Arabidopsis thaliana: one gene and its partners. The protein of the gene in region 1 purifies or fractionates together with the protein of each later gene. This does not show direct contact. Each region holds a gene or a part of one and is shown in the gene's direction. Other genes may lie near its edges. The genes, in order: ETG1, MCM3, MCM4 and PRL.

Evidence for each region.
Region 2: the proteins of ETG1 (region 1) and MCM3 purify together in Arabidopsis thaliana (affinity purification with mass spectrometry, with the first as the bait; one large-scale study listed by BioGRID). This does not show direct contact.
Region 3: the proteins of ETG1 (region 1) and MCM4 purify together in Arabidopsis thaliana (affinity purification with mass spectrometry, with the first as the bait; one large-scale study listed by BioGRID). This does not show direct contact.
Region 4: the proteins of ETG1 (region 1) and PRL purify together in Arabidopsis thaliana (affinity purification with mass spectrometry, with the first as the bait; one large-scale study listed by BioGRID). This does not show direct contact.

What each region holds. Positions count from the first base shown.
Region 1 is NC_003071.7:16,932,110-16,938,823, forward strand, and holds ETG1 (E2F target protein 1 (ETG1)), read left to right. Parts: upstream 1-2,511; 5' UTR 2,512-2,817; coding exon 2,818-2,985; intron 2,986-3,233; coding exon 3,234-3,347; intron 3,348-3,435; coding exon 3,436-3,543; intron 3,544-3,631; coding exon 3,632-3,763; intron 3,764-3,867; coding exon 3,868-3,909; intron 3,910-4,095; coding exon 4,096-4,197; intron 4,198-4,298; coding exon 4,299-4,535; intron 4,536-4,625; coding exon 4,626-4,742; intron 4,743-4,832; coding exon 4,833-5,035; intron 5,036-5,124; coding exon 5,125-5,260; intron 5,261-5,328; coding exon 5,329-5,556; intron 5,557-5,666; coding exon 5,667-5,734; intron 5,735-5,809; coding exon 5,810-5,924; 3' UTR 5,925-6,163; downstream 6,164-6,714. Other genes in the region: KT2 (potassium transporter 2), read left to right, coding at 1-30, 122-175, 261-521, 602-654, 738-855, 958-1,212, 1,290-2,407; AT2G40560 (Protein kinase superfamily protein), read right to left, coding at 6,596-6,714. UniProt on the Arabidopsis thaliana protein: Associated component of the MCM complex that acts as a regulator of DNA replication. Binds to the MCM complex during late S phase and may act by promoting the disassembly of the MCM complex from chromatin. Required for sister chromatid cohesion.
Region 2 is NC_003076.8:18,768,971-18,776,055, reverse strand, and holds MCM3 (Minichromosome maintenance (MCM2/3/5) family protein), read left to right. Parts: upstream 1-2,352; 5' UTR 2,353-2,449; coding exon 2,450-2,512; intron 2,513-2,607; coding exon 2,608-2,708; intron 2,709-2,896; coding exon 2,897-3,105; intron 3,106-3,204; coding exon 3,205-3,335; intron 3,336-3,427; coding exon 3,428-3,666; intron 3,667-3,740; coding exon 3,741-3,977; intron 3,978-4,078; coding exon 4,079-4,233; intron 4,234-4,346; coding exon 4,347-4,555; intron 4,556-4,639; coding exon 4,640-4,799; intron 4,800-4,885; coding exon 4,886-5,082; coding exon of another isoform or gene 5,083-5,094; exon of another isoform or gene 5,095-5,165; coding exon 5,166-5,225; exon of another isoform or gene 5,226-5,312; coding exon 5,313-5,402; coding exon of another isoform or gene 5,403-5,414; exon of another isoform or gene 5,415-5,494; coding exon 5,495-5,697; coding exon of another isoform or gene 5,698-5,701; exon of another isoform or gene 5,702-5,787; coding exon 5,788-6,007; intron 6,008-6,097; coding exon 6,098-6,154; 3' UTR 6,155-6,407; downstream 6,408-7,085. Other genes in the region: KASI (3-ketoacyl-acyl carrier protein synthase I), read left to right, coding at 1-414, 684-857, 967-1,080, 1,180-1,329, 1,401-1,467, 1,550-1,617; AT5G46270 (Disease resistance protein (TIR-NBS-LRR class) family), read left to right, coding at 6,966-6,977.
Region 3 is NC_003071.7:7,125,671-7,132,714, reverse strand, and holds MCM4 (Minichromosome maintenance (MCM2/3/5) family protein), read left to right. Parts: upstream 1-1,985; 5' UTR 1,986-2,049; coding exon 2,050-2,086; intron 2,087-2,154; coding exon 2,155-2,844; intron 2,845-2,941; coding exon 2,942-3,070; intron 3,071-3,143; coding exon 3,144-3,225; intron 3,226-3,297; coding exon 3,298-3,430; intron 3,431-3,513; coding exon 3,514-3,585; intron 3,586-3,682; coding exon 3,683-3,805; intron 3,806-3,896; coding exon 3,897-4,010; intron 4,011-4,089; coding exon 4,090-4,302; intron 4,303-4,410; coding exon 4,411-4,509; intron 4,510-4,634; coding exon 4,635-4,795; intron 4,796-4,894; coding exon 4,895-4,991; intron 4,992-5,091; coding exon 5,092-5,253; intron 5,254-5,354; coding exon 5,355-5,435; intron 5,436-5,508; coding exon 5,509-5,587; intron 5,588-5,696; coding exon 5,697-5,833; intron 5,834-5,949; coding exon 5,950-6,009; intron 6,010-6,104; coding exon 6,105-6,179; 3' UTR 6,180-6,436; downstream 6,437-7,044. Other genes in the region: AT2G16450 (F-box and associated interaction domains-containing protein), read left to right, coding at 1-1,195. UniProt on the Arabidopsis thaliana protein: Probable component of the MCM2-7 complex (MCM complex) that may function as a DNA helicase and which is essential to undergo a single round of replication initiation and elongation per cell cycle in eukaryotic cells.
Region 4 is NC_003075.7:898,335-906,091, forward strand, and holds PRL (Minichromosome maintenance (MCM2/3/5) family protein), read left to right. Parts: upstream 1-2,301; 5' UTR 2,302-2,349; intron 2,350-2,420; 5' UTR 2,421-2,467; exon of another isoform or gene 2,468-2,738; intron 2,739-2,841; exon of another isoform or gene 2,842-2,913; intron 2,914-3,040; exon of another isoform or gene 3,041-3,085; 5' UTR 3,086-3,149; coding exon 3,150-3,180; intron 3,181-3,271; coding exon 3,272-3,339; intron 3,340-3,442; coding exon 3,443-3,502; intron 3,503-3,590; coding exon 3,591-3,814; intron 3,815-3,901; coding exon 3,902-4,079; intron 4,080-4,166; coding exon 4,167-4,289; intron 4,290-4,369; coding exon 4,370-4,459; intron 4,460-4,718; coding exon 4,719-4,861; intron 4,862-5,011; coding exon 5,012-5,189; intron 5,190-5,482; coding exon 5,483-5,674; intron 5,675-5,767; coding exon 5,768-5,940; intron 5,941-6,033; coding exon 6,034-6,237; intron 6,238-6,313; coding exon 6,314-6,479; intron 6,480-6,557; coding exon 6,558-6,779; intron 6,780-6,864; coding exon 6,865-6,963; 3' UTR 6,964-7,257; and 1 more. Other genes in the region: STP7 (sugar transporter protein 7), read right to left, coding at 53-1,129, 1,216-1,535, 1,617-1,761; MSH6 (MUTS homolog 6), read left to right, coding at 7,745-7,757. UniProt on the Arabidopsis thaliana protein: Probable component of the MCM2-7 complex (MCM complex) that may function as a DNA helicase and which is essential to undergo a single round of replication initiation and elongation per cell cycle in eukaryotic cells.

The sequences.
Region 1 (6,714 bases):
GAGATGGACTTCTCACTCCAGCTATCTCCGGTATGTATGCTTCTGTGTTTGTAGACAGATATTCCAGTGTCCAATTGCTAGTTAAAAGAGTTTTCTAATCTTTTCTTTTTCTTGTATGTAGTTTTCTCTGCTGTGTCAGGTCTTGAGCTGAATATGTCTAAAGAACATCACCAATGTAAGTACACAAAGACTGGGTAGTGTTAGTTTTTGCTACTTGAGTTCTGATGAATGATGGCTTCCTTTGTTGTTCAAACGTGCAGATGCAGTAATTCCTATTACCTGCTTCATACTAGTCTGCCTTTTCTCGCTTCAGCATTTTGGGACACATCGTGTTGGGTTTGTTTTCGCGCCTATTGTCCTCACTTGGCTGCTCTGTATAAGTGGTATTGGCTTGTACAATATAATACAGTGGAATCCTCATATATACAAAGCTCTTTCTCCTACATACATGTTCATGTTCTTGAGAAAGACGAGAGTAAGCGGATGGATGTCTCTAGGCGGGATCTTGTTGTGCATAACTGGTGAGATATATAAGAAATCGATATTGTTAATGTCGCCATAAATAATGTCAGTAATCTAACTCGTTGAGTCTTTGTTTTAGGTGCTGAGGCCATGTTTGCTGATCTTGGTCACTTCAATTACGCAGCAATTCAGGTTAGTTTCTACTTTAGCTTGGATGATTTACTTATTGTTATATCGCCACAGGTTTCAATAAATCTTTGTTTTGTTTGCTGTAGATTGCGTTTACCTTCCTGGTTTATCCGGCTCTTATATTGGCATACATGGGGCAAGCTGCTTACTTATCCCGGCATCACCATTCTGCTCATGCAATTGGGTTTTACGTCTCTGTACCAAGTCAGTAATTTGCCTTACTTCAAGAACTCAATTTTTTTTTGGTGTTGATCATTGAAAACGTAATCTGATCTTTTGTTTATATAACTCCATGGTTTTGAACAGAATGTTTGCACTGGCCTGTGCTTGCTGTAGCAATTCTTGCTTCTGTTGTGGGAAGCCAAGCGATCATCAGTGGGACTTTCTCAATCATAAACCAGAGCCAGTCTCTCGGATGCTTCCCTCGAGTCAAAGTCATTCACACGTCCGATAAGATGCATGGTCAGATTTACATACCGGAGATTAACTGGATGCTCATGATTCTCTGCATCGCTGTTACTATCGGGTTTAGAGATGTCAAACACCTGGGAAATGCATCAGGTATGAGATTCTTTTATCAACTCAAGAATTTTGGATTCTTCGACTTTGAGATTATATTCCTTTGTGGTTGGTTGCAGGTTTGGCTGTAATGGCGGTTATGCTAGTGACAACATGTCTTACCTCATTAGTCATTGTTCTTTGCTGGCACAAGCCTCCAATTCTAGCGCTAGCGTTCCTTCTCTTTTTCGGTTCAATAGAACTTCTCTACTTCTCGGCCTCACTCACCAAATTTCGTGAAGGCGCTTGGCTTCCGATCCTCTTATCTCTAATATTCATGATCATCATGTTCGTTTGGCACTACACCACCATTAAGAAATACGAGTTTGATCTCCAGAATAAAGTCTCGCTTGAATGGCTTCTTGCATTGGGTCCAAGCCTCGGAATTTCTCGAGTTCCAGGTATCGGTTTAGTCTTCACGGATTTAACCTCTGGAATCCCCGCCAATTTCTCCCGGTTCGTCACCAACCTCCCTGCCTTCCACCGTGTTCTTGTCTTTGTCTGCGTGAAATCTGTCCCTGTCCCGTTCGTTCCACCTGCTGAGAGATACCTCGTGGGTCGTGTTGGTCCCGTTGACCACCGCTCTTACAGATGCATCGTTCGGTATGGATACCGTGACGTCCATCAAGACGTGGACTCATTCGAAACAGAGCTCGTAAGCAAGCTGGCGGATTTCATCCGTTACGATTGGCACAAAAGAACACAACAAGAAGACGACAACGCTCGTTCTGTCCAGTCCAACGAATCCTCAAGCGAGTCAAGACTAGCCGTGATCGGAACAGTAGCTTACGAGATCGAAGACAATCTCCAACCAGAGAGTGTCTCCATCGGATTCTCCACAGTCGAAAGCATGGAAGACGTCATACAAATGGCCGAACCAGCCCCAACCGCCACCATAAGACGGGTGAGGTTTGCGGTTGAGGAAAACAGTTACGAGGACGAAGGATCAACATCGTCAGCAGAAGCAGATGCGGAACTGAGAAGCGAGCTGAGGGATTTGCTGGCAGCGCAAGAAGCAGGAACTGCGTTTATATTGGGACATTCACATGTGAAAGCGAAACAAGGATCATCGGTGATGAAGAGATTAGCAGTTAATTTCGGTTATAATTTCTTGAGAAGGAACTGTAGAGGACCTGACGTGGCTCTTAAGGTTCCACCTGTTTCTCTTTTAGAAGTCGGCATGGTTTATGTTGTTTGACTTATGAAAAAACTAAATATATGAAAACCTAATTCCTCTGTTGTAAATTCGTCATGTTTAGCTTCATAGATCTCTGTTTCTGTGTTTGTGAGTCTGGGGTTTGACTTTTAACAAATCTTAAGACCAAGATGGTCAGAGGATCATATATGCCAAATGAATTAGTTTATTATACACATGAAACGACATCGTATGGAGAGGGGTCCAAAACGGTGCGTTGGAAGTTGGAGAATGGGCATGGATAATGGCGGGAATAACCTAGGAGATATGGCGGGAAAGGCCCAACTATACACACTTGACATTGCCCTTAATTCGTGTTTGAGCAAAGACTCAATCTTTCATCTCTAGATTCTTGGCGATTCTCGCTACATAGTACTTTGGTAAAGAGTGAAATCAAAGGTTGGTTTTGAGATATGGGAGGACCAGCTTACGATTGTCTGACCAACCCTTTAGGAGCCGTCCGATTCTCCTTCGTAAATGCTCTGTCTTCAGGCTACGATCCGGCTTCGTCTGTCGGAAAAGACTGGGGTGTCGTTGATTTGTTCCGTCACTACTTCTCCGACGAATCTGCTATCTCCCAGGTTTGCCCTAAAACCTTTACTCTGTTTCTATTTTTTTTTGGGTTTAGGGCAATTGAGTATGTTTTGATTAATTACTACCCAATTAGCATAATAGGTTGATTTTTTCGTGTACTTTGGCTCTGTTTCTAAGTAAATCAGCTTACTTTAGGTTTTAGTCTATCCATAGATTGGTTAATTTGGGTTTTTTCAAGGATCTGTTTTGAGATATTTTTCTTAATTAACCGATAGTGTTTTCTTTTGTCTACTAGGTTCCAATTCTTGATTCGTCAAGTATTAAGTGGGTGCAACCCAAGACTCTTGTTCGGTTTCGTGGAATGATACAGGACATGCTTGGGAATGAATTCTATGCTGGTGCTTACAAGGTAGGAATATGACTTTTGATGGTTTCTACTAAAGAAGAATTCAATCTTTATCTATCAGTAACTGTTTCTGTTTTTACGTTCTGTTTAGGATGATTCAACATGGAGAACAAACAAGTACAGTGATGTTTCACAGTTTCCTGAGGGTTCTTCCACTGAAATTCAAGTTTGGGAGCGTCGCTTGCTTTACTGTGTTCCAGTATGTTTTGTCTCATGCGGATCTTTCTTTTTTGTTGTTGGTCTCTCATATATGTTTAAACATAATAACACTTGATTGCAATGTTTAGGTTCCGGGAAAAAACCAGTGGACTGAATGTTCTTCACAAGAGCTAAAAAACCGGTTTTTGGATCTAACTGGCCAAAACAGGGAAAAGCGTGTGAGGGTGGATGAAGAAATGACTGATTCCATGGACTCCAGTGTAAGCAACTTAGGTTCTCATGTTTGCTTTATATGAAACTGATTTTGTTGTAGCAACATCTATTGGTGTTGTTTGTCAATAACTTATTTTAGCCACCATTGCAGACTTTAGAAGCTGGGCGTAATGGTTCTCCTTTTAAGAAAATGGTAAGGATCTCTAGTCTCTTAAGTCTTTCTTCAAAGTCTTTATGAGTCTAACACTATAAGCTACAAAGTTGTGGAAAAAACCATATATTATAAACTTTTCTTTACTGTTACTGGGAAGAATCATGAGACATTGAGATTTTGGCTGATGAAGAATTTCTGATTAATACTGTTTTTTATGTTCATCAGAAAGTGGGGGAAGCTACTTCATCAGCTTCAGAATCTCAGGTTCCACAAACTTCTGGTATTCCGCCTGCTACAAGTGCAGATTCTCTGCCTTGTCTTGTCAAGGTAAATATATGTTTACATTGTTCTTTATATTACCTGTTAACATGTGTATACAAAAGCAGCAAAGACTAGTCTGTTGACAAGATTCTTATGCGGCCACGCAGATCTATGATTCTCCAGAGTCAGATTTGAAGCTAAATGATGTGGTTGAATTTCTTGGAGTGTTGACCTTCGATCCAATTGTTATGATGGATACAGATACACTTGATGAAAACTCTGATGCTCTTTCTGAAGCTGAATCTGTTCAGATGCCCTCTGGAAAGGTCCCACGCCTCCATTGTCTTATCCATAGAAAGCTTGAAACACAGCATTTCCTGCATGGTTCTTCGTTATTACCAGAGGCAAGTATCATCGATTTAGAAAATATACCTCTCATACCTATTCGTGTTTTGAAATTTGTTTTAAATCTCTTGTTACTTTCCATTTAGCAGCCAAAATCCCCCCAAATATTCAAAGAGATAAGAGAGAGTTTGATGAAGTACCTTACCGGTCTACTTGGGAATGATCACATTGCCGCACAGTTCCTATTATTGCATCTCCTGTCAAAGGTAATTAGTTGAAAAAGGATCACTTGTTTTTATTCTCAGCTATTACTGCTACGGCCTTCTATATTCATATGTTTTTTTTCTCCTTTACAGGTGCATGGAAGAGTAGATAATGTTGCTGTTGGGAAGCTTTCTCTTAATCTCATACACCTTAATAAAGAAAGCATGTCTATCTTCGGTACCCAGCTCAGTGGTGCCCTCAAAAGCCTCCTACCGTTCACACAATCTATACCACTTACTATTGAGTATCTGAACACTGCCTCGTTCGGTCCCAAGAAAGACTATGGAATCAACAGGTAAGAATCCAGTTCTACGAAATCTTAACAATGGTTTTGAATCATTCTTCTCTTGAAAGACCTGCAATTATATTGTTTTTATGACTCAGATTGATGCCTGGAGTTCTACAAATTGCTGATGGTACGCACTTGATATTGGATGAAACAGAGTTGCAACCAGGCACCTTGAACTCTGTTGGAGTTGAGAATGCAAATCTGCTTAAAAACCTCTTGGAATGTCAGAAGGTAGGGCAACGTCATTATTCACTTTTAATCAGATTCAAATATGAATATGGAATCTGCTGCTATTTCAGGTTGAGTATGATTTCCAATATTACAAAATGGAAATGGCCACTGATGTTCAAATGCTCATATTCTCCGAGGGAAAGTCGAACATAATGCCCGCCGATTTGGTTCTACCTCTTCAACCTTCTCAAGTGAATTCATTGGAAGTCATCACACCAGAAACAGCTGAAACTTGGAGGTGCTACTTAGCTACTTGCAAATCATTATCACACTCCATTGGGCAAGAGTTGCAACAGGTATGTATATATCTATTGCATTAATGTTAGAATCTGCCAATCTGGTACTTCTAAAGAAATCCATTGTTTTCAGACTTTTGACTAATATTTTCTGCAAATTTTTGTTGCAGGTGGTGGAGAATGATTTGGTTGCAGCTAGACAAACAGATCGTAGTTTAGGCAGCCAAGACTTGAGCAGGTACAAAAGCCCTCCTTAGGGTTTATCCTTGTCAAATATGTGCAAAACTTACAATTATGTTGTTTGGTTCCACAGATTGTTGACAATGGCTCGTATGATGTCTGTGAGTTATGGTGAGACTACGCTTTCACTAGAGCACTGGCAAATGGTGTTGGAACTAGAAAGACTTAGAAAGGAGAGGCTCAAGTAAAACCACCGTAACGAACAAGATGTATTATGGTTTCGAGACTATTTGGATATTGTAATTTTCACTAAGTTATCTGAGTAAGAAGAACCATATCGTTTCATTTCCTATCTATTTATTAAGGTTCAACTTTTGAGCTATTGACTGGTAATGGAAAATGTTTGAGAAAGAAGAAAACTTGGAGACTTCAAACCCATTCCGGTTAATTTTCATCGTTGATCTGACATGGTAAATACTGAATAAAGCACATGCACACTGTGACACCTCTACTTTAAAAAGTACCAAATAGATAAACTGACTAGAAGATTATTTTCTTGTGATGCAAGTAAGAAACAAACTCAACCAATCGACCTTACTAAAGTATACTCTTCTATAAAATAAAGAAATTTCTTCTCCCCCGTATGTAAATTGAAATCACCAGATGGAAGTCTTGGTATAGAGATATATCGATCTGATAATCTTATCACGGAAGAAGACTTTGGTCTCGATTGCATATCTCTCACGTACGACTCTCGTTTGTATGAATAGAAAGAACAAAGACACACACAATTTAACGAGTTCCCAAGGTCAAACCGATCCTTGGTACATCTCGGCTAGGCTTTGCCATAGCAAATTCACTATCCAGTTTTTTTTTTCTTTTTTTTATACATATGTACACAAGAGAGATAGAGAGAGGATTAGGTCAAAAGAAGCTTCGAGAAACTTGGAATCAACGACCTAGATATCTCCTTGTTGTCTTCTGTTGTTGGCGATGGAAGTCCTTGTGTAATAAAAGGATGTTTCAAGAGCTCAGTCG
Region 2 (7,085 bases), on another chromosome or scaffold:
GGAGTACTAGTTGGGACTGGAATGGGAGGTTTAACTGTGTTTTCAGAAGGTGTTCAGAATTTGATTGAGAAGGGTCATAGGAGGATTAGTCCATTTTTTATACCTTATGCTATAACAAATATGGGTTCTGCTTTGTTGGCGATTGATCTTGGTCTTATGGGTCCTAACTATTCGATTTCAACTGCTTGTGCTACTTCGAATTACTGCTTTTACGCTGCTGCGAATCACATTCGTCGTGGTGAAGCTGATATGATGATTGCTGGTGGGACTGAGGCTGCTATTATTCCTATTGGGTTGGGAGGTTTTGTTGCTTGTAGGGCATTGTCCCAGAGAAATGATGACCCTCAAACTGCTTCCAGGCCGTGGGATAAAGCAAGAGATGGGTTTGTTATGGGTGAAGGAGCTGGTGTTCTGGTATGTTTCACAAATTCTTAATCTCTCATTGATACTATGAATCTACATACATTTGGCTTGCTCTGTTTTGAATTGTATATAAGAGCCTGTTTTGGTCTTAGTTTATAGAATCTGATGAAACTTGTGTTCCCTAGTCTATTAGCTCTGGAAGTTTCCTTGCACTTGAATTGTACTACATTTTCAAAGTTGGTTTATCTCACCATGAGATTGGCTCATACATGTGACATTTTGTTTTGGAGAGACCCACTAATTGTTGTATGCCCTAATAGGTGATGGAAAGCTTGGAACATGCAATGAAACGTGGTGCTCCAATTGTAGCAGAATATCTTGGAGGTGCTGTTAATTGTGATGCTCACCATATGACTGATCCAAGAGCTGATGGTCTTGGGGTTTCTTCATGCATTGAAAGATGCCTGGAAGATGCTGGTGTATCACCTGAGGAGGTAAAAAACACAAACTTTTCATGCTTCCTAAGTTTTAAGGCTATCTGAAACAAATTTCTTCATTAGATTCGTGTTACTTCCCTACTTATATTCATTCCACGTTTTTCAGGTAAATTACATCAATGCACATGCAACTTCCACTCTTGCTGGTGATCTTGCTGAGATTAATGCCATTAAAAAGGTATTCAAGAGCACTTCAGGGATCAAAATCAACGCCACCAAGGTTCGTCCCCAATGCTCTATGATTGAGTGTTCTTCTTCTCCTCTATTTCAATGTATTTGTTTGCTTTGCATTTCCTGTGAATGACAGTTTCTGTTACAGTCTATGATAGGTCACTGCCTCGGTGCAGCTGGAGGTCTAGAAGCCATCGCCACCGTGAAGGCTATCAACACTGGATGGCTGCATCCTTCCATCAACCAATTTGTACGTATAACAGGAAGTCAAGAAAAGGCTTCTTTGATTCCGCTTTCAGTTTGAACTGTTGCAAGATTTGAACTTGGTCATTGTATTAGACTCTCACACTCTTTGTTTTCTCATTGTAGAACCCAGAACAAGCTGTGGACTTTGACACGGTCCCAAACGAGAAGAAGCAACACGAGGTTGATGTTGGTAAGTGACAAACATGACCGCCTTCTCATTGGATTAAACTGGCAACAGTTTCACTGATTAATGTCTTTCTGTTTTGCTGCAGCCATATCAAACTCGTTCGGGTTCGGTGGACACAACTCGGTAGTCGCCTTCTCTGCCTTCAAACCCTGATTTCTTCATACCTTTTAGATTCTCTGCCCTATCGGTTACTATCATCATCCATCACCACCACTTGCAGCTTCTTGGTTCACAAGTTGGAGCTCTTCCTCTGGCCTTTTGCGGTTCTTTCATTCCCCGTTTCTTACGGTTGCTGAGATTTCAGATTTTGTTTGTTCTCTCTCTTGTCTGCGGAATGTTGTGTATCTTAGTTCGTTCCATATTTGCGTAATTTATAAAAACAGAAACTGAGAGAATCTTGTAGTAACGGTGTTATTGTCAGAATAATCCAATTAGGGGATTCTCATCTTTTATTTCTCAACAATTCTTGTCGTGTTTTTACATTCGAAGAAATTAGATTTATACTGAATTTTTTTTCAGTTATACATATGTTGTGATACATCCGAAAATGTTCTCAAATCACACAGGTTTATTTTGGTTTTCATATATACATTTTTCGGTTTACTGGCTTGAAGGCAGTAGCAAAAGTTAAACCGAATTTACAATGAATTGATTTGGTATGTCTGGTTTTTGGTTTAGAATCTGGGTGTATTATACCGCCTTGAGGAAATCAAACGCGCCAAACAAGCGCGTAGACGTAAGTCCAAAATTGTACCGGCCCAAATTTGGTTAATCAAAAAGCACGTAGACGAAAGGCCCAACTAATATCGGCCCAAAATGACCCTTCCCGCCAAAAAGGGTACAGGTTATCTCACGAAATCCCGCCATAAGGAGAAGATCCGCCCTTTATGCCTCTCGAAATCGGAAATCGAAAATCTCTAATCAGTTTTTTTTTTTTAAGTAGAAGAAGAAAAGTTCTTACGAAGAACCCAGATTTTGTTAAGAAATGGATGTGCCAGAGGAGACGAGGCTTCGCCACAAGCGAGATTTTATCCAGTTCCTCGATAGTGTAAGTCGATTTCTATCACTTTTCTCACCAGACATTTCTCGAGCTTCTGTTCTTATCTAATTTGAAAAATTGGATTTTTTTTACGGATTGTGTAGATGTATATGGAGGAAATCAAGGCTTTGGTACATCAAAAGCGTCACCGTCTCATTATTAATATCTCTGACATTCACCACCACTTCAGGGAAGTTGCCTCTAGGTTCGTCATCTTCTCAATTTGTCTTCCTCGAATTTTTAATCGGTTCTTTAGTATAAGGTTATGAATTTACGGCAGATTTTAGGGTTTTGTTAGATTCAGTGAGGTTAATTTGGGGATTTTTAAGGATTCACTACAATTGTCATATGTTTTGTGACCTTAAAGTTGATTGCTTTGGTTTTTTTGGATAGGATACTGAAGAATCCAAATGAGTATATGCAGTCATTTTGTGACGCAGCCACTGAAGCTACTCGTGCTATTGACCCTAAATACTTGAAGGAAGGAGAGCTTGTCCTTGTTGGTTTTGAAGGTTATTTTGTTTCTCGCGTTGTTACTCCTAGAGAGCTTCTCTCTGATTTTATTGGATCTATGGTCTGTGTTGAGGGCATTGTCACCAAATGTAAGCTCATCATTTTCACTCTATTCCTCTGCTTTTCTTCTGTTTCCTTTGTGTTTTACGTAGAAGATTTTGAACCTCTGACACATGCTTTGCTTTCAGGCTCTCTTGTGAGGCCAAAGGTTGTTAAAAGCGTTCACTTTTGTCCATCAACCGGTGAATTTACCAATCGAGATTATCGAGACATAACATCTCACGCTGGTTTACCCACTGGCTCTGTCTATCCCACAAGGGTAATTACATGTTTTTTGTTTTCGTTTTGTTCATTTACCTGTACTGCTGGAAGATTTGCCTCTTACTGAAGATTGAGTTTTTTTTTGTTCAGGATGATAAGGGAAACTTATTGGTGACTGAGTATGGGCTGTGCAAATACAAAGATCACCAGACCTTGTCAATTCAAGAAGTGCCTGAAAATGCTGCTCCTGGTCAGCTTCCACGAAGCGTTGATGTCATTGCTGAGGATGACCTTGTTGACTCATGCAAGCCAGGAGATCGAGTATCTGTTTTCGGTATTTACAAAGCTCTTCCTGGAAAAAGCAAGGGTAGTGTAAATGGAGTCTTTAGGTGCGTTTTCTTACACATCTGTTAGTTCAAGATGTTTTCACTCTGATAGTCTTGACCGAGTTCTTTCTGTGTAGGACTATCCTCATAGCCAATAATATCGCTCTGCTCAATAAAGAAGCAAATGCACCTATATACACTAAGCAAGACCTAGATAACATTAAAAATATTGCACGAAGAGATGATGCATTTGATCTCCTTGCTCGTTCCTTAGCACCTTCTATTTATGGGCACGCTTGGATAAAGAAAGCAGTAGTTTTACTGATGCTTGGTGGTGTTGAAAAGAACCTGAAGAACGGAACCCACTTGAGGGGGTAAGTCTTGCTTGAAAACAGATTTCAGATTCGACTCATTGGATACTTTTTGTCTAACTCATTTTTCTTTCTTCACTTGAAAACAAATCTTGTGCTTTCAGAGACATCAACATGATGATGGTTGGTGATCCATCTGTTGCCAAATCTCAACTTCTGAGAGCGATAATGAATATTGCACCTTTGGCTATATCAACCACAGGCCGTGGTTCTTCCGGTGTTGGGTTAACTGCTGCTGTGACTTCTGACCAAGAAACAGGTAAAAAGCACACAAAAGCGTTTCCACATTTTTTTATCAAATGCTAAAATCAAAATTTGAAGGAAGGTCAAAAGTGCTATTTCTCATTAAAATCAAATTCTCATTTTCATCAGGGGAACGAAGACTAGAAGCTGGTGCAATGGTCCTCGCTGATAAAGGTATCGTGTGCATTGACGAGTTTGATAAGATGAATGATCAGGACCGAGTTGCTATACACGAAGTGATGGAGCAACAGACTGTAACAATTGCAAAAGCCGGTATCCATGCATCACTGAATGCTAGATGCAGTGTGGTTGCAGCTGCAAATCCCATATACGGAACTGTAAGTTCTCACCGAAGTTTTCCTAATCTACTTACTCTACTGACTAGTATTTTTTTGTCCTAATACCTACTCTTGCTCCTGCAGTATGACAGATCACTGACTCCAACAAAGAACATTGGACTTCCAGATTCGCTGCTTTCTCGTTTTGATCTACTGTTTATTGTGTTGGATCAAATGGATGCTGGTATCGACAGCATGATTTCAGAACATGTCTTGCGCATGCATCGTTACAAGAACGATAGAGGTAGGAAACAAATCATGCTTCTATGTTTTACTAAACATTTCACAACCCATGTCTTGAAACGCATCTGACTTTTGAGTGAACCATAGGTGAGGCAGGGCCAGATGGGAGCTTGCCTTACGCGAGAGAAGACAATGCTGAGAGTGAAATGTTTGTTAAGTATAACCAAACACTACATGGGAAGAAGAAAAGAGGCCAAACACATGATAAAACCCTTACGATTAAGTTCTTGAAGAAGTACATTCATTACGCCAAGCACCGTATTACACCAAAGCTCACTGATGAAGTGAGACAGTGAACTCAAATATATAAATTTTTATGTATCTGATAATCTCTTCCACTAAATCTCTTTTGTTATTAAATTTGCAGGCATCGGAACGTATTGCAGAAGCATATGCAGATCTCAGAAATGCAGGTTCCGATACTAAGGTAATTTATTTCATAAAATAACATTGGACACTGTATCTTTTTCGTCTTGGGAACTTGTATTTGACACAACCATCGAAATCTCTGCAGACTGGAGGTACGCTTCCGATAACAGCCAGAACTCTAGAGACAATAATTCGTCTTGCTACGGCACATGCCAAAATGAAGTTGAGTAGCGAGGTAACAATCTAACTCAAATCTTCTGTTTCCCCACCTGGTCGTGAATATGTTCTATTCAGATTCTTTCTAAAGTGATAACTTTATTTTGAAAGGTTACTAAAGCTGATGCAGAGGCTGCCTTGAAGCTTATGAACTTTGCAATATATCATCAAGAATTAACTGAGATGGATGATCGTGAGCAAGAAGAACGTCAAAGGGAACAAGCTGAACAAGAAAGAACACCAAGTGGACGTAGAGGCAACCAACGCAGGAATAATGAAGATGGAGCAGAGAATGACACTGCAAATGTCGACAGGTAAACTAATTTGATCTCCTCCATGGAAACCTATATCACAGCTTTCTCAACCCTTATACTTTTTTCTTTCTCTTTTGCTGGTCCATTCAGTGAAACAGCAGATCCAATGGAAGTAGATGAACCTTCTGTAGAGCAATTCAGCGGCACGGTCTCTGCAGCAAGGATTGAAACCTTTGAGCGAGTGTTTGGGCAGCACATGAGGACACACAGGCTCGATGACATCTCTATTGCAGATATAGAGACTGTTGTCAACAACAATGGGGTTGGAGCATCTCGTTACTCTGCAGATGAGATTATGGCTCTCTTAGAGGTAATTCACAAATTAAGAGACAAGCTTTCTCATTCTTTAACTTTTTATACAATATCTTCATAACTTTACTCTATTGTGGATTTTATGCAGAAACTGCAAGATGATAACAAAGTGATGATCAGCGATGGCAAAGTTCATATCATTTGATCATATGAAGAAATCAATATTGATTGCATCATCATCATCATATTAGAACTCAAAAATAGTGTAGTAGTAAACTCTTGGAAACCAAAATATCATTTTGTAAAATCTTTATTCATACGTTATGTTTTTTGCATTTACTAGTGAAGTAAAACTGATGATAAAATGCTTAAAAAAACGCATCTGATTATAAAATTTGGAATTTATAACGAAAAGCACAATCCGAGAATAAAATACTTTCATATTTATCCTATAATTTCTTGAGCTGTTTATGCCAAATTTTATACATATGTAATCGACATCAAGATTATAGTGTATATGTTGTTTTAACCCAATGGTAAGAATAGAGTTGTGCCATATATAAGCCAACTTCAAAACCCTAATAATCACTACCTTGGAACTCTCTCGTCTAAAAGATCCATGTTTTTCCATTTGGTCTCTATTACTTTTTTTTTTTTTTTCCAAAACATGTTTGCTTTGTCCATGATGGATCCTATACGTTTCTAAAATTGTACATATAATCAGGTTAAATTCCACAAAGACGGATTGAAATCAGTTTTGGTATACAGAGTAATACAACAAAATCTATTTTTTTTTTTGTTGCCAAATAACAAAATCTATTTTGGTAGGTTACTGCACACGTTTCTCTATCAACCCTAGTCAAAACAATTGAGTTACTAAATAAACTTACGTAGTTAGGCCATACATGTCTCTGATTCAGACCAGAGCTTCTCAGAAATGTTAAGGCCATGAGCAAGAGAAACTTGTCTCCACTCTAAGAATTCTAAATTCTTAAAGTAATCATAAAGTGAGACGTATGTGTAGTAATGTAAGGGGATAAGACATTAGAGGCTATGAAACATTTGCTTATGACCTTGTACAAAAGATGATTAAGACATCAAATTGGAAATATCCGTCAAGTTGTGTCTGAAACAAT
Region 3 (7,044 bases), 9.8 Mb from region 1:
GAAGCGATGGGCATCAATTTTTGGTAGTCCATATTTCAAGGAGTTGTTCCTGACCAGGTCCTCGACTAAGCCGCGCCTCTTATTCGCCATCGCAGAGAAAGGCAACAAAGAGAAAGACTGTGTGTGGAGGTTCTTCTCGTCGCCACAGCTTGAGAATCCATATGAGAAATCCTCATCGACTCTTGTAGCAACCGCTGAATTTCATGTGAGATTCTCTCCAGACAATCTACTGATCTGTCATTATTATGACCTAAAATATTTTTCAATTGGTTATGCCTTTGGCTTGATCTATATCTATGGTAATCGAGGCCGGGCTAGACCTCTAATATGTAACCCCACTACAGGACGGTATGCCATCTTACCTAATCGGTATACTTACAGAAAGGCGTTTAGCTTTTTCGGGTTTGACCCAATTGACAAGCAATACAAGGCATTGTCCATGGTTTATCCATCTGGTCCTGGTCATAGTAGAGTTATTACATTTGGAGCTGGAGATCTGAAGTGGAGAAGGATAAAATGTTCATTGCGACATGATATTAAGAGTGAAGGGGTATGTATCAATGGGGTTTTGTATTACTTAGGTGACACGTCGGATTGGAGTCGCGTTAATGGTAATCACGTAACGTCTGGTTATATGATAGTTTGCTTTGATGTTAGGTCTGAAAAATTCACCTTTATTGACGTAAAAAGGTTTTGTCGATTGATAAACTACAAGGGCAAATTAGCTGTGATTTATTGGGAGGATGATGTCGACATTCAAGAGCTTTATTACAAAAAGGGTATAGATGTCGAGGAATATGTGGAGAATAATGTCAACGCTGATGCCACTAATGAGTTGTGTGTGTGGATTCTAGCGGATGTTGAGAAACAGGAATGGTCGAAACATGCCTACACTTGGACCGATGAAAAGTTCTTCCGTCGTTTGGTATCCATCGCTGGAGTGACTGCTTCGGGTGAAATAGTGTTTTCGATGCGCAAGTGTAATCCTAAACAACCGTTTTATGTGTTTTACTTCAATCCCGAAAGGAACAGTCTCCAACGTGTTGAAATTCAAGGTTTTGGTGAAGCCGTTACGAAATCTTGTGACGTTTGCACCTTTGTAAACCACGTAGAGGATCTCAATGTTTACGATTTAAAACAACTCAAGTCAGTCCATCCTCCATTGGTCGAGCCAGAATATTATGATTCAGATTAAGAGTCAGACTGAGAAGGGACAAGGAGAAGAAGACTGACAAGTGACAAGGATAAGGAGATAGAGACGAGCCAGGTGAAAGCAATGGGCATGCCATTTTATGCTCTTACTTATGCGTTTTTTTTTTAAATCAACATTATCTATGTTTACTGTTTTTTTTTTCTCTTTTGAACGAGCTTTATATGTATCCTTCATTTTGTTTGGTCTCAAGAACAAGGTGTTGCAGTTTCTCTTAGTTCTCTGTCTTAATCTGAGTATCTATTCTTTGAATTTCAGCATGGTTTCTTCTGGATGAGATCTGTCCTCTGTTCTGTTTCAATATCTTGTTGTGTTTGTCGGTTGTGTGTGATGGGACTAATTTTCATGATGACACTTTGGACTAAATACTTAAATGGGATTTGTACAAAATCGTTCACTCACTTGAAGAAAACATTCCTTGAATTCTACCATTCCTGGTTTCTATTAGTCTCAGTCTTCATGTTTAAAGTATGCAACTTCTTGTTAGCTTAGTTTTGAAACTTTTGGTTCTCTGTAACAAAGGGTCTTGTAAGCTGTCTTTGAAAGAGGGAACATTCTCGTTAACAGTCTTTATGGGTCTTATGCTTTGTTGCTTCTCTAAGTTTTTTGTTTGAACTTGTGAATGGCGAATAGATGAGATCTGTCCTCTGTTCTTAACATCTTATTGATTTTGTCATTTGGTTTAAGAAATGGGACCAATAGGCCCAGGAATTAGGTCCATTAAAAGCCCAGTAATAATGGCGCCAAAATCAAGTGAAGTCCCCGCCTAATTCATCTCTTCTCACTAAAAAAGCGTCGAAACCTCTCACTCCGTCTCTCAATCAATTCTCCGATCAGCCATGGCTTCTGATTCTTCTCTCGGCAACACCAACGACGGTACTATCTCTCTCCCTCTCTCTAAATCTGAAACTGCTTCATAATTTTGACGAATCTCACTACCTCAGGTCCTCCTTCTCCCGGAGAAAACGTTTCAAGCCCTATCGAAAACACATACTCTTCCCCCGCCGCACTTCACCGTCGCCGGCGAGGAAGATCCTCTACTCCCACGCAATTCGCAACTCCTCCACCACCGCCTTCACGTCTCGCATCATCCAATTCCACTCCTCCAACATCTCGTCCTTCCGCCGCCAGATCTAAAGGAAGAAATGGACACGGAGGTGGCGGTGGTGGCGGTGGTGGCGGAGACCCAGGGACGCCAATGTCCACTGACGAGCCACTGCCTTCTTCCGATGACGGTGAAGAAGACGGAGGCGACGATACTACTCCGACTTTCGTTTGGGGAACTAACATCAGTGTGCAAGATGTTAAATCTGCGATTGAAATGTTTGTTAAGCATTTCAGAGAAGCTAGAGAGAATAGTGATGATTTGTTTAGAGAAGGGAAGTATATGGTTTCGATAAGGAAGGTGATTGAGATTGAAGGAGAATGGATTGATGTTGATGCGTTTGATGTGTTTGATTATGATCCTGATTTGTATAACAAGATGGTTCGTTATCCTTTGGAAGTTCTCGCTATCTTCGATATTGTGCTGATGGATATTGTTTCCACGATTAATCGTTTGTTCGAGAAACATGTTCAAGTTAGGATTTTTAACCTCAGGACATCTACTTCCATGAGAAATCTCAATCCATCTGGTTAGTATGATTCAGTTTTTGTTCTTCTTGGTTTCTTAGTTCTCTCTAGTGGTAATAGCTTAGCTTATGTTTGGATGTGTTTTGTTTGGTTGGTTAGATATCGAGAAGATGATCTCTTTGAAAGGTATGATAATTCGGAGTAGCTCTATCATTCCTGAAATAAGGGAAGCTGTGTTTAGATGCCTTGTTTGTGGTTACTTCTCTGACCCCATCATCGTTGATAGAGGTAATTTGGTCATTTGGATTTATCCAGATTTTATGTATCTGCATAGTTTCTCATAATGTTGTTTGATTGATAGGGAAAATAAGTGAGCCTCCTACTTGCTTGAAACAAGAGTGCATGACCAAGAACTCCATGACACTAGTGCACAACCGATGCAGGTAAGTTCTAGACATAGTATATGTCTGATTCTTATAATTTCTGTAACTTACCTTCTTTATTTTGTGTATCAGGTTTGCTGATAAGCAGATTGTGAGGCTTCAGGAAACACCTGATGAGATTCCAGAAGGAGGAACACCTCACACAGTTAGCTTGTTGCTGCATGATAAGCTAGTTGATAATGGGAAGCCTGGTGATAGAATTGAGGTAATAAAAGCAGTAATTCTATCAGGGTAGTACATTCATTCCTATGGTTTTCGTTGACAATCAAAAGCTTGTTTTCTGGATAGGTCACCGGAATTTACAGAGCAATGACTGTCCGAGTGGGACCTGCTCACAGGACTGTGAAATCTGTGTTTAAGGCATGTCATCTTATTTCTTCCTCTGTTAGTTATTTCCCTTTATTGTAATTACGTTCTGACATTGTCATTTATGTTTTCTTATGAATGTTGAGGACAGACCTATATCGATTGCCTTCACATAAAGAAAGCAAGTAAGTTAAGAATGTCTGCTGAGGATCCTATGGATGTTGACAATAGTCTGCGTAGAGTTGATGAAGATGTCGAGTTAGATGAGGAGAAGGTATTTCATCTATTTAACTAAAATGGTTCTACAGTTTTGTATCTTATTCATTCGTCCCTCCATTCCAACCAATATTTGTGTTACTTTTCAGCTGAGGAAGTTTCAGGAACTCTCTAAACAACCAGATATATATGAGAGGCTTAGTAGATCACTAGCACCAAACATCTGGGAGTTGGATGATGTTAAAAAGGGTCTTCTATGCCAGGTACTGTAACGCTTTTGATACTGACTTATGGTTTAAACAAAATTAGTTCTTTTTACTGAGTCAAATTTCAAATGTGAAGCTTTTTGGAGGGAATGCTTTGAACTTAGCATCTGGTGCTAATTTTCGTGGTGACATCAACATCTTACTTGTTGGTGACCCTGGTACGAGCAAGTCCCAGCTGCTCCAGTACATTCATAAGCTTTCACCCCGTGGCATTTACACAAGTGGGCGAGGGAGCTCAGCTGTTGGTTTAACAGCTTATGTAGCTAAAGATCCTGAGACAGGAGAAACTGTATGCTAATATTGTTTTCAATCTTTTTATTATCAGCTGTTTTTTTTTATTCTGTGTTTCAAAGTTTTCATAAACCTGACATGCTAACATGAATGCTACATTGTTTAGGTTTTGGAGAGTGGAGCTCTTGTTCTTAGTGACCGAGGTATCTGCTGTATTGATGAATTTGACAAAATGTCTGACAGTGCGAGGAGCATGCTACACGAGGTTTGTTCCTCTCTCTCTTTTTTAGCATTGCTCAAAGTCGTAGCTTACAGTTTTTGGGTGCCCCCTGTGAATGTGGTCTCTAGTCAATAAGATTGCATTACTGATGAACATTGTTTCTCTGTCAGGTGATGGAACAGCAGACTGTTTCAATAGCAAAGGCTGGTATTATTGCATCTCTAAATGCCAGAACCTCTGTGTTGGCTTGTGCAAATCCTAGTGGCTCACGTTATAATCCCCGGCTTTCTGTTATTGAGAATATTCACCTTCCTCCAACCTTGCTATCTAGGTATGTTGCAATCCTTCAACAATGTGACATTATTTTTACTAAAGGCTAATGGTTTCCTCTATTTGGTGTTACTAATTATAATCTCATTTTGCTTCTTAGATTCGATTTGATCTACTTGATTCTTGACAAGCCCGATGAGCAGACTGACCGAAGGCTTGCAAAGCATATTGTGGCCCTTCACTTTGAGAACGCTGAGGTCTTATATTATATATTTTCCCAGTGTGTATGATATGTTGACAGACAATTATTTTTTGCCTTTATCTTACTTAATTGGTATCATTTGTGTCAATATACAGAGTGCTCAGGAGGAAGCTATAGATATTACTACACTGACAACTTATGTTAGCTATGCCCGCAAGAACATTCATCCTAAACTGTCAGATGAAGCTGCAGAGGAGTTGACCCGAGGATATGTTGAGCTGAGAAAAGCAGGGAAGTTTGCTGGCAGTAGCAAAAAGGTGTGCCCTCGAAACTTCAATATCTTTTCTATGTCGTAACCAAGGCTCATAAAAAGGCTATGACTAGTCTAACGCTATGAAACGCTCTGAATTTGGCACAGGTCATAACAGCAACTCCTAGGCAGATTGAAAGTTTGATCAGACTTAGTGAGGCCTTGGCTCGGATGCGCTTCTCCGAATGGGTTAGTTAAACGCTCATATTATACATTTTCCTTTCATCGTTCTAAATCAACTGAAATGGTTTTTGTGATAAAGGTTGAAAAGCATGACGTGGACGAGGCATTTCGACTTCTCAGAGTTGCAATGCAGCAATCAGCAACGGATCACGCCACAGGTAGTTTTTTCACAGTAACTTTCAGACCCATTATTATCATCAGGATAAAGATAAACAGTAGCATTCAATACCAATCTAACAATAAACACCTGTATTTATGTTGGTGAAGGGACCATTGACATGGACCTGATAAATACTGGAGTGTCAGCAAGTGAACGAATGAGGCGGGATACCTTTGCGTCGTCAATTAGAGACATAGCTCTGGAGAAGATGCAAATTGGAGGATCATCAATGCGCTTATCCGAGGTATTCATGCACTACTCCTTTCTTTTTCCCAATTTTGTTATATGCCAAAAGCAAGCAAATCAGTTTACAATAAGAGAAACCGTTTCTTAAGTACAATGGAAATGTTGTTGTTGCAGTTACTTGAAGAACTGAAGAAGCATGGAGGCAACATAAACACCGAAATTCATCTTCATGATGTGAGTCATTTATAACACTTTGCTACATATCAAAAGGTTTTTGGTCTAAGGACAGAGACATAACAAAGTATTTGTTGTTGTGACGCATTAAACAGGTTAGAAAAGCAGTCGCGACGCTAGCGAGTGAAGGATTTCTGGTAGCTGAAGGTGATAGAATCAAGAGAGTATAATCACAGATTCATGAGGAAAGCTTAATATTGCTGTGATTAGAGAGTTTGATGATGGTTTTAGTAGCATATTAATAGTAGGATACCCAGCAAATGATGTGGCTCGGTCCATCTTCTCACTATTTGCTAATTTGTAATGACTTATTTTGTTACTAGATATCACTTTGGCACTGACAAAAAAATGGATCAAATATACTCCCAACAAAGCTAACTTGCGAATGAGATAGAAATCAATAAAATCGTTCCAACTCGACCAAACATAAGACAATGTGTGTATTCTTTAGATCACTACCAAAATTCAAAAATATCTTCATGCTTATCAATTTTTATATATAGCAAAAATAGTCTTCCTTCAGTCTTATTCTCGTAAACTATTATTCACTTGATGAAGTTATTTGTATCTTCATATGATATAATTAAGAATTTTTAAAAAGAACAAAAAACGAAGAATAATCATTTGAAAAAGTTAGAGCATTGCAATTACAAACTTTATAGCATGAAAAGGTGGATCGTACAAAAGAAGAAAGTTAGATAAAAAGATTGAAAATTGGGTCCACATAGAGAACATTATTGGATTTCGATAGAGATATGGTATGGACTAAAATGACAAGTGATCATGCGTTCAAAAAAGTAAACGATACGATTGGTCTCTAACTTTCTTCGTTTCTTATTCGTAAGGACGTGGAACTCGTTACTCCTTACCTCTCTTAGTGCTCCATCTCTCTCATGTCACCTAGACTTCGTATAAGTCAACTTGATTGTATTTTGACATGGTTAGGCAAATGCTTCGATTTGTTTTCCGATATTGATATCTGATTAATCCGGAAACACATATAGATCAGAATTTTTGTTGATCTAAATAAAACGG
Region 4 (7,757 bases), on another chromosome or scaffold:
AAAACCTTATAGTAATACAAACATAAGTTTCTTGAATCAGTTTATATTCTCTTTAAACAGATACATTCTTGCTCTCATCTTCAAGATTTGTTGCATCAGGTAATACTTTTTTCCAGAACCAATGTTTACTCCATAAGAGTGTCATCTCTTCTATTGGAACTCCTTTGGTTTCAGGCAACAGGAAATACACAAAGATAGTCATTACTGTCACCCAACCAGCAAAGAAGAGGAAGATTCCAAACTTGAATGCACAGAGGAGACCAAGGAAAGCTTGAGCTATGATGAAAGTGAAGAGGAGATTTACAGCTACTGTGATACTCTGCCCCGCTGAACGAGTCTCTAACGGAAAGATTTCGCTAGGTATGGTCCAACCTAGAGGACCCCATGACCATCCGAACGCTACAACAAAGAGGCAGATGAAGATGACTACGATCACTGAGTACCCTTTTGATAGCTCTTGGTTGTCTCCAAATTTCACTCCTAAGATCACTGCTACTATGACTTGACAGATTATCATTTGTATTCCTCCAGTTATGAGAAGAGCTCTTCGTCCCAATCTGTCTACTAATCCTATGGAAATAAATGTTGATAGGACAAGAACAGCTCCTGTTAAAGCTGATGAATAGAGAGATGCGTTTCCTCCAAACCCCATTGTCTGGAACAGAACAGGTGCGTAGAAGAGAATGGAGTTTATCCCTGTGAGTATCTGAAACATTGGCATGCAAATAGCCATAACTAGCTGAGGCCTGTGTCGTTTCTGCAAGATGTTTCTGAATGGATGTTTGATGGAATTCGCAAGCTCACTCGCATCTACCATGTCTTGAAGCTCGGCGTTGACGTTTTCTGTTCCTCTTAGCTTCACTAAGACTCGTCGACCTCTCTCTGTTAATCCTCTTTCGACCAAACTGTTTGGTGTCTCGGGTAAGAAATACCCGCCAAGCGTCATAAGCAGAGCTGGAAAAGCAGCTAAACCAAGAGAGAGTCTCCATCCCCAAGGCTTAAGCTGTTGAGTACCGTAATTAACCATGTTCGCTGTAAAGATCCCGATAGTTGTAGCTAGCTGAAACATCATGTTTAAACCACCTCGTAGATGAGTTGGTGCCACTTCTGATAAATACAAAGGAACCGCCTGAAAGCAAAAACCAAAGCAAGGTAACTTTCATTAGAGATGAGATTGGTTTATTATTGGTGACACCAACTAAACAATTGTCTAACCTGATTTCCAAATCCAATACCAACACCAAGCATGATCCGTCCGGCAAGAAGCATAGCTAAGTTCACAGCTCCAGCATTCAAACCAGATCCAATAAGAAAGCTGATTCCACCACAAACAATACTCGCACGCCTACCGTAGTTCCTAGTGATGGGTGAAGCCACGAGAGTCGAAACCAAACCAGCTAAGTAGAGTGAAGAAGTGAAAGCAGCTAAGCCTTGATTATCATATTTGCAGTAATTACTTTCATGAGCTTGCTTCTTCTTCTCATAAACCGTGTGGAAAAACTCCTCAAGAAACTCATCCATCGATGTAACTCCTCCTGCATACAAACAAAAAACCATTTCAGCCATTGTTTGATAAGATTATTAAGAAATTGGATTCAAAAGATGAAGAAAAGAACCTGAGATTCCAATGTCATATCCAAAGATGGATCCACCAATAGCTGCAACAAGGCAAGCGATTATAACATAACTAGTGACTTTCCCTTGGTATTGTTCTGCTCTCTCCTTAGCCACACCGGTCGGACCAAACGACCCTCCTGCCATTTTCTTTTCTTCTTCTTCTTCTTCTTCTTCTGCTACTACTTTGCTTCTTTTTAAGAGTTTGTTGCAACGGTTGACTTTTTTTCTTGCTTTTACTCAAATTCCAGAATCTGAGAGACAACGAAACAAAAAGGGTTATACACATTTACATCTTCACGTGGTTAGATAGATTTCAATTTGGTTAGGTTTTGGGAAAATTTTAAATGTGAAGTTTTGCCACTTTGAGATTTGTGATAATTGCGTATGGATTCGTGTTTGGTACATAATTGTTTGGAATTAAGTTCCAACAAGTAAATACGTCATTTTCTTGACCTTATCTTCACATAACAAATTAAAAATTTAATACTGATTTTGCATGTCTTCCTCCTACTTTGATCTCTATTTCCACAAAAATCATCAATGCTCGTTGGAATATTGTCAGAATATACTAATGCTATATAAGAAAACAAATACAAAAAGAGGTTTTATACTTTTTTGGTCAAATGTCATCTTCATAATAAAAAAAAAGATTACGATCTTATCCCGTTCTAACAAGTAACACCTCGGAAAAAAAAGAAATCAAAATCCTTCCTAGTAAAAAAAAAAAAAAAAGTTGGTTTCAGACAGAAAGTGAAGAATCAAGACAAGTGTGATGATTTTCGTCATAGGTTGAAAGAAAACAGATTAAAAAAAAAAGAAGAGGACTTACAGGAGAAAGAAGAAGGAAGATGTAACGATTTGTTGTAGACTGGGAAATGATTCAGACTTGTGTGTGCTATTTATTCCATGGATTTTTTGATCGCCTACTATGAAGGCGATGTTAAAGATGATGTTGACCAAGTTTTGATCAAAGTCGAATACAGAGAGACTAAATATACAACAACAAAAAAAAAAATCAAAAGCTTTAAATTCACACACACAAATTTCGATAGTAGCTATGGATTTAAGACAAGTGTAAGAAGAAATCACACTAGTTTTCAACGTAAGGAGGATGATGAAGATGACATTATTGTATCCACATTTGTCACCCATTTTTTGGAAACAGATGATAATATTATTAAATCTTTGGTTAATTAAATACTAAGGGAAAGAAATAACACAAAAGTGGTTGTAGTATAGCGGTTAGTATCCCACGTTGTGGCCGTGGGGACCCGGGCTCGAATCCCGGCAGCCACACTTTTTGTTACCTCTTCTTTTTTATTTCCAGCAGGGGTAGTTTCGACATTACATTAATCACGTGATCATTAGATCTGGACCGTTCATTTTACTCCCCGCCATTTCTCTCTATAATACTTTTCCCGCCTAAACTCATCGTCATCTACAACCCTTTTACCGCCCAATTTTGCAGTCACTGGTTCATTCCTTTCTCTTCTTCCTCTTCCACTCTCTCTCTCGACCCAAGTTTTGAAACCATGAAAGACCACGATTTCGACGGCGACAAAGGTTACATTCTCTCTTCTTCTCCGTTCTCGATAATCTTTTCCCTCTTTTTTCGCTGAGTTTTGATTCTCACTTTTTTTCTTCTTGTATATAGGGCTTGCCAAGGGATTTCTCGAGAATTTCGCCGACGCTAATGGCAGATCTAAGTACATGGAGATTCTCGTAAGTCTCATTTCCAATATCTTCCACCAATTTCTCTCTTCTAGGGTTTTCGCGAATCTCCCTAATTTTAGGGTTTTATGTTCTATTTTATGAATTTGTGTAGCAAGAGGTTTCAAATCGTAAGATTCGAGCTATTCAAGTCGATCTCGATGACTTATTCAATGTGAGTTTTTTTTTGTTTCTCTCTAATGTTGTTTCTGTTTTGGATGTTGCTATTGTAGAAGCCACTCATCTCTTTTGATATTGTGTAGTATAAAGATGAAAGTGAGGAGTTTCTCGGACGGTTGACGGAAAACACTCGCCGATATGTTTCAATTTTCTCCGCCGCTGTTGACGAGTTGTTACCCGAACCAACGGAAGCGTTTCCAGATGATGATCATGATATTCTCATGACTCAGAGAGCAGATGATGGGACTGATAATCCAGATGTTTCTGATCCTCATCAGCAGATTCCTTCTGAGATTAAAAGATATTAGTAAGTTTTGTCTGAGTCTATTTGCTGGACATAAGCTTTAGGGAATGAGTTTTACAATAGTTTGCTAATGAATTTACTTTTATTCAGTGAGGTTTATTTTAAAGCTCCTTCAAAGGGAAGGCCATCTACCATCAGGGAGGTTAAGGCTTCACACATTGGGCAACTTGTTAGGATATCTGGTATTGTGACCCGTTGTTCCGATGTCAAGCCATTGATGGCGGTTGCTGTTTACACATGTGAAGATTGTGGTCATGAGATTTACCAGGTACAACTATGCTTTTGCCAGATTGTAGTTTCTTTTTTATTTTGTTAACTACTAACTCTGATTATTTTCTTTTACATGTCAAATCAGGAAGTTACATCTAGAGTCTTCATGCCTTTGTTTAAGTGTCCTTCTAGTCGCTGTCGTCTTAATAGTAAAGCCGGGAATCCTATTCTTCAGCTCAGAGCATCAAAGTTTCTAAAGTTTCAGGAGGTTCTGTTTCTGGTCAATGAGTGCCATTTATGTGAATGCACTGATATCAAACTAATGAGTAAAAAATCATTGTCTTGCAGGCCAAGATGCAAGAGTTGGCTGAACATGTTCCCAAAGGGCATATTCCGAGGTCTATGACTGTTCATCTAAGAGGAGAGTTGACAAGAAAGGTACCTTTTCTTGACCTCAGTCTCATGCTACTATTGGAGTCTATTTGTTCTACTTTCGGAATCAATAGCTCGGTTGCTTAGGAATAGTCCAATGAGAAGTTGTTGTTCGGCTTAAAAGCATATGCTGAACAGTTGTTGATTAAGAGGATTTTTTTTTCCAATGTTGTACTGGGACTCTATCTGTAGATATTGTGATATCAGCGTCATTTACTATCGTACAATTGTGAAATTCTTACTAAATTTCCTTAAACCCTTGTAGGTATCACCAGGTGATGTTGTTGAGTTCTCAGGGATTTTTCTTCCCATTCCTTACACTGGGTTTAAGGCACTTCGAGCTGGCTTAGTAGCAGACACCTATCTGGAAGCAACGTCTGTTACTCATTTCAAGAAGAAATATGAGGAGTAAGGCGTTGTTACACCTTTACACTAACGAAACATTCTGATTTAGTAACCTATTCCATGTTTTTCTGCATTTGCTTAAGATACAAAGCAGCTTTCGTGTGTGCACAATATCAGAAAGCATCTTTATACCTTTTTCATTATGATCTACAGATATGAGTTTCAGAAAGATGAGGAAGAACAGATTGCACGTTTGGCTGAGGATGGTGACATATACAATAAGCTGTCGCGATCCCTGGCCCCTGAGATTTATGGACATGAAGATATTAAGAAAGCTTTGCTTCTCCTTCTTGTGGGTGCTCCTCACAGGCAATTAAAGGATGGAATGAAGGTGAACTTTCCTGTCCTCTGATTTATTCTGGCAAAATTTCCATGATATTGCTATCTATTATGATAAAGAGTAAAGACTGTACACTGATTAGAAAGCAGTTGCTTGCTTTAGTTCATCTCCGACTATATTGTTTTACCTATTTCCATACAGTGTCCGCAGTCTTCATTGATTGAGTTATGGAGCTTTATTATTTACAAACATGTTCAGTCATTCAAGAGCACATTGCACTTGATTGGAACACATTTTATCTGTGAAGATTTAAAAACAATACATTCATTAATTATCTTTTGCAGATTAGAGGAGATGTGCATATCTGTCTGATGGGTGATCCTGGAGTTGCCAAGAGTCAGCTTCTCAAGCACATTATAAATGTTGCTCCAAGGGGAGTCTACACAACAGGCAAAGGTAGCAGTGGAGTTGGTCTAACTGCCGCTGTTATGAGAGATCAAGTAACAAATGAGATGGTTTTAGAAGGAGGAGCACTGGTGAGAGACAATGCCCTTTTGCTTTGGATATATTTTAGAAAATATGATGTAAGAGCTATGTGATTTAGAAGTTTGATACAATCTCTATCTCAGGTGCTGGCTGACATGGGAATCTGTGCAATTGATGAGTTTGATAAGATGGATGAATCAGATCGTACTGCTATTCATGAGGTCATGGAGCAGCAAACTGTAAGCATTGCAAAAGCTGGGATTACCACGTCTTTGAATGCTCGAACAGCTGTTCTTGCTGCAGCCAATCCAGCCTGGTAAGTGAACTCTCATGATATGAATTAAAAACTCATGAATGTTGAGTGATCATTGCTATCATTATTGAACTATGTATCTTTGTGTTTATGAAGGGGAAGATATGATTTGCGAAGAACTCCAGCTGAAAACATTAATCTTCCACCGGCCCTTCTTTCAAGATTCGATCTGCTGTGGTTGATCTTAGATCGAGCTGACATGGACAGTGACCTTGAATTGGCAAAGCATGTGCTTCACGTACATCAGACAGAAGAATCTCCTGCGCTTGGTTTCGAGCCTCTGGAACCCAACATTCTCCGGTAAGTTAAATCGCTTTTACAGCATTCTTGTTCTGCAAAGTCAGAAACTTTAACATGAGCATATTTGGTTCTCTAGTGCATACATTTCAGCTGCAAGGAGATTATCACCATACGTCCCAGCAGAGTTGGAGGAATATATAGCAACTGCTTATTCCAGCATCAGGCAAGAAGAAGCGAAATCAAATACTCCTCATTCTTACACAACAGTGAGGACACTGCTCAGCATTCTGCGCATATCCGCTGTAAGTAGAATTTGTGTAGGAACTTGAGTAAATTAGTTGGACTATTGAGTGTTAATATATTTCCGATTTGTTCTATAGGCATTAGCAAGGTTGAGATTTTCAGAATCAGTGGCACAGAGTGATGTGGATGAGGCGCTTAGACTAATGCAGATGTCGAAAATATCATTGTATGCTGATGACCGACAAAAAGCAGGACTAGATGCAATATCAGACACATACTCAATCATAAGAGACGAAGCTGCAAGATCAAAAAAGACCCATGTGAGCTACGCAAATGCCCTGAACTGGATCTCCAGAAAGGTTAGTTTCTTCCTTCATCTTCATCTTCATGTTCTTTCTGAAAATGGATGATCACTGAGACGAGAGATTTGGGGTGTGAAAACAGGGATACAGTGAGGCTCAGCTAAAGGAGTGTTTGGAGGAATATGCAGCTTTGAATGTTTGGCAGATTGATCCTCACACCTTTGACATCCGTTTTATCTGAGTAACACCACCCAAAAAAAAAAAATGGAAACAAACCAAGTCTCTCTTGTTATGTTGTGTGCTTTATCTCTATTATCTTATCACATTTCTTAACGTAGAGACCTTAGAAGTGGAATCTATAGAAGTGATCTCTTGATTGCAGAACAAACTTTACTTTTGGAAATTTAGATGTGACTTTGTACTCTTGCAGTTCTTTTCACTCTCGCAAATTTACTACGGTTTTGATCTAGGTTTGATTAAAACACTTCTTAGTCTAATTTTGTATCCATGTCAGTAATATACTTTCAGTTTGGTATAATTTGATTTCATTATTACAATCATAAAATATTGTAAGTACCATGCTAACATATTTTCAAAAAAATTCTAAAAGTGGAATTTTGGGATTTTTATGACAATTTTGGAAAACAGAACAATTTTCGGTTTAGTAACATAACAGATCGGTTCTGGATCGGTTTAAGAATTAATGGGCCATATTATTATACTTTTAAGCCCATTAATACAGAGCAAAGCCCATTTACGTCGTTGCAATATCTCACTCACTCCATAAGCTTTTAACGGCATGAATAATTCGATTTTCGAGATGGCACAGAGAGAGAGCGAGTATTATTACTAGAGCGTTGTTTCCCGCCAATTAGCAACTTTCGCCGGCGTATTTTCCCGGTGAAAAATTCCCGCGCAATCTCTTCACTCCATAATAAGCTTCTCTCATCAATCTCGCTCTCTTCGCCGACTGTTTCACTCCCCTTCTCTCTCACTCTCTGTGCGCTTTATTCCACTCTCCGATGGCTCCGTCTC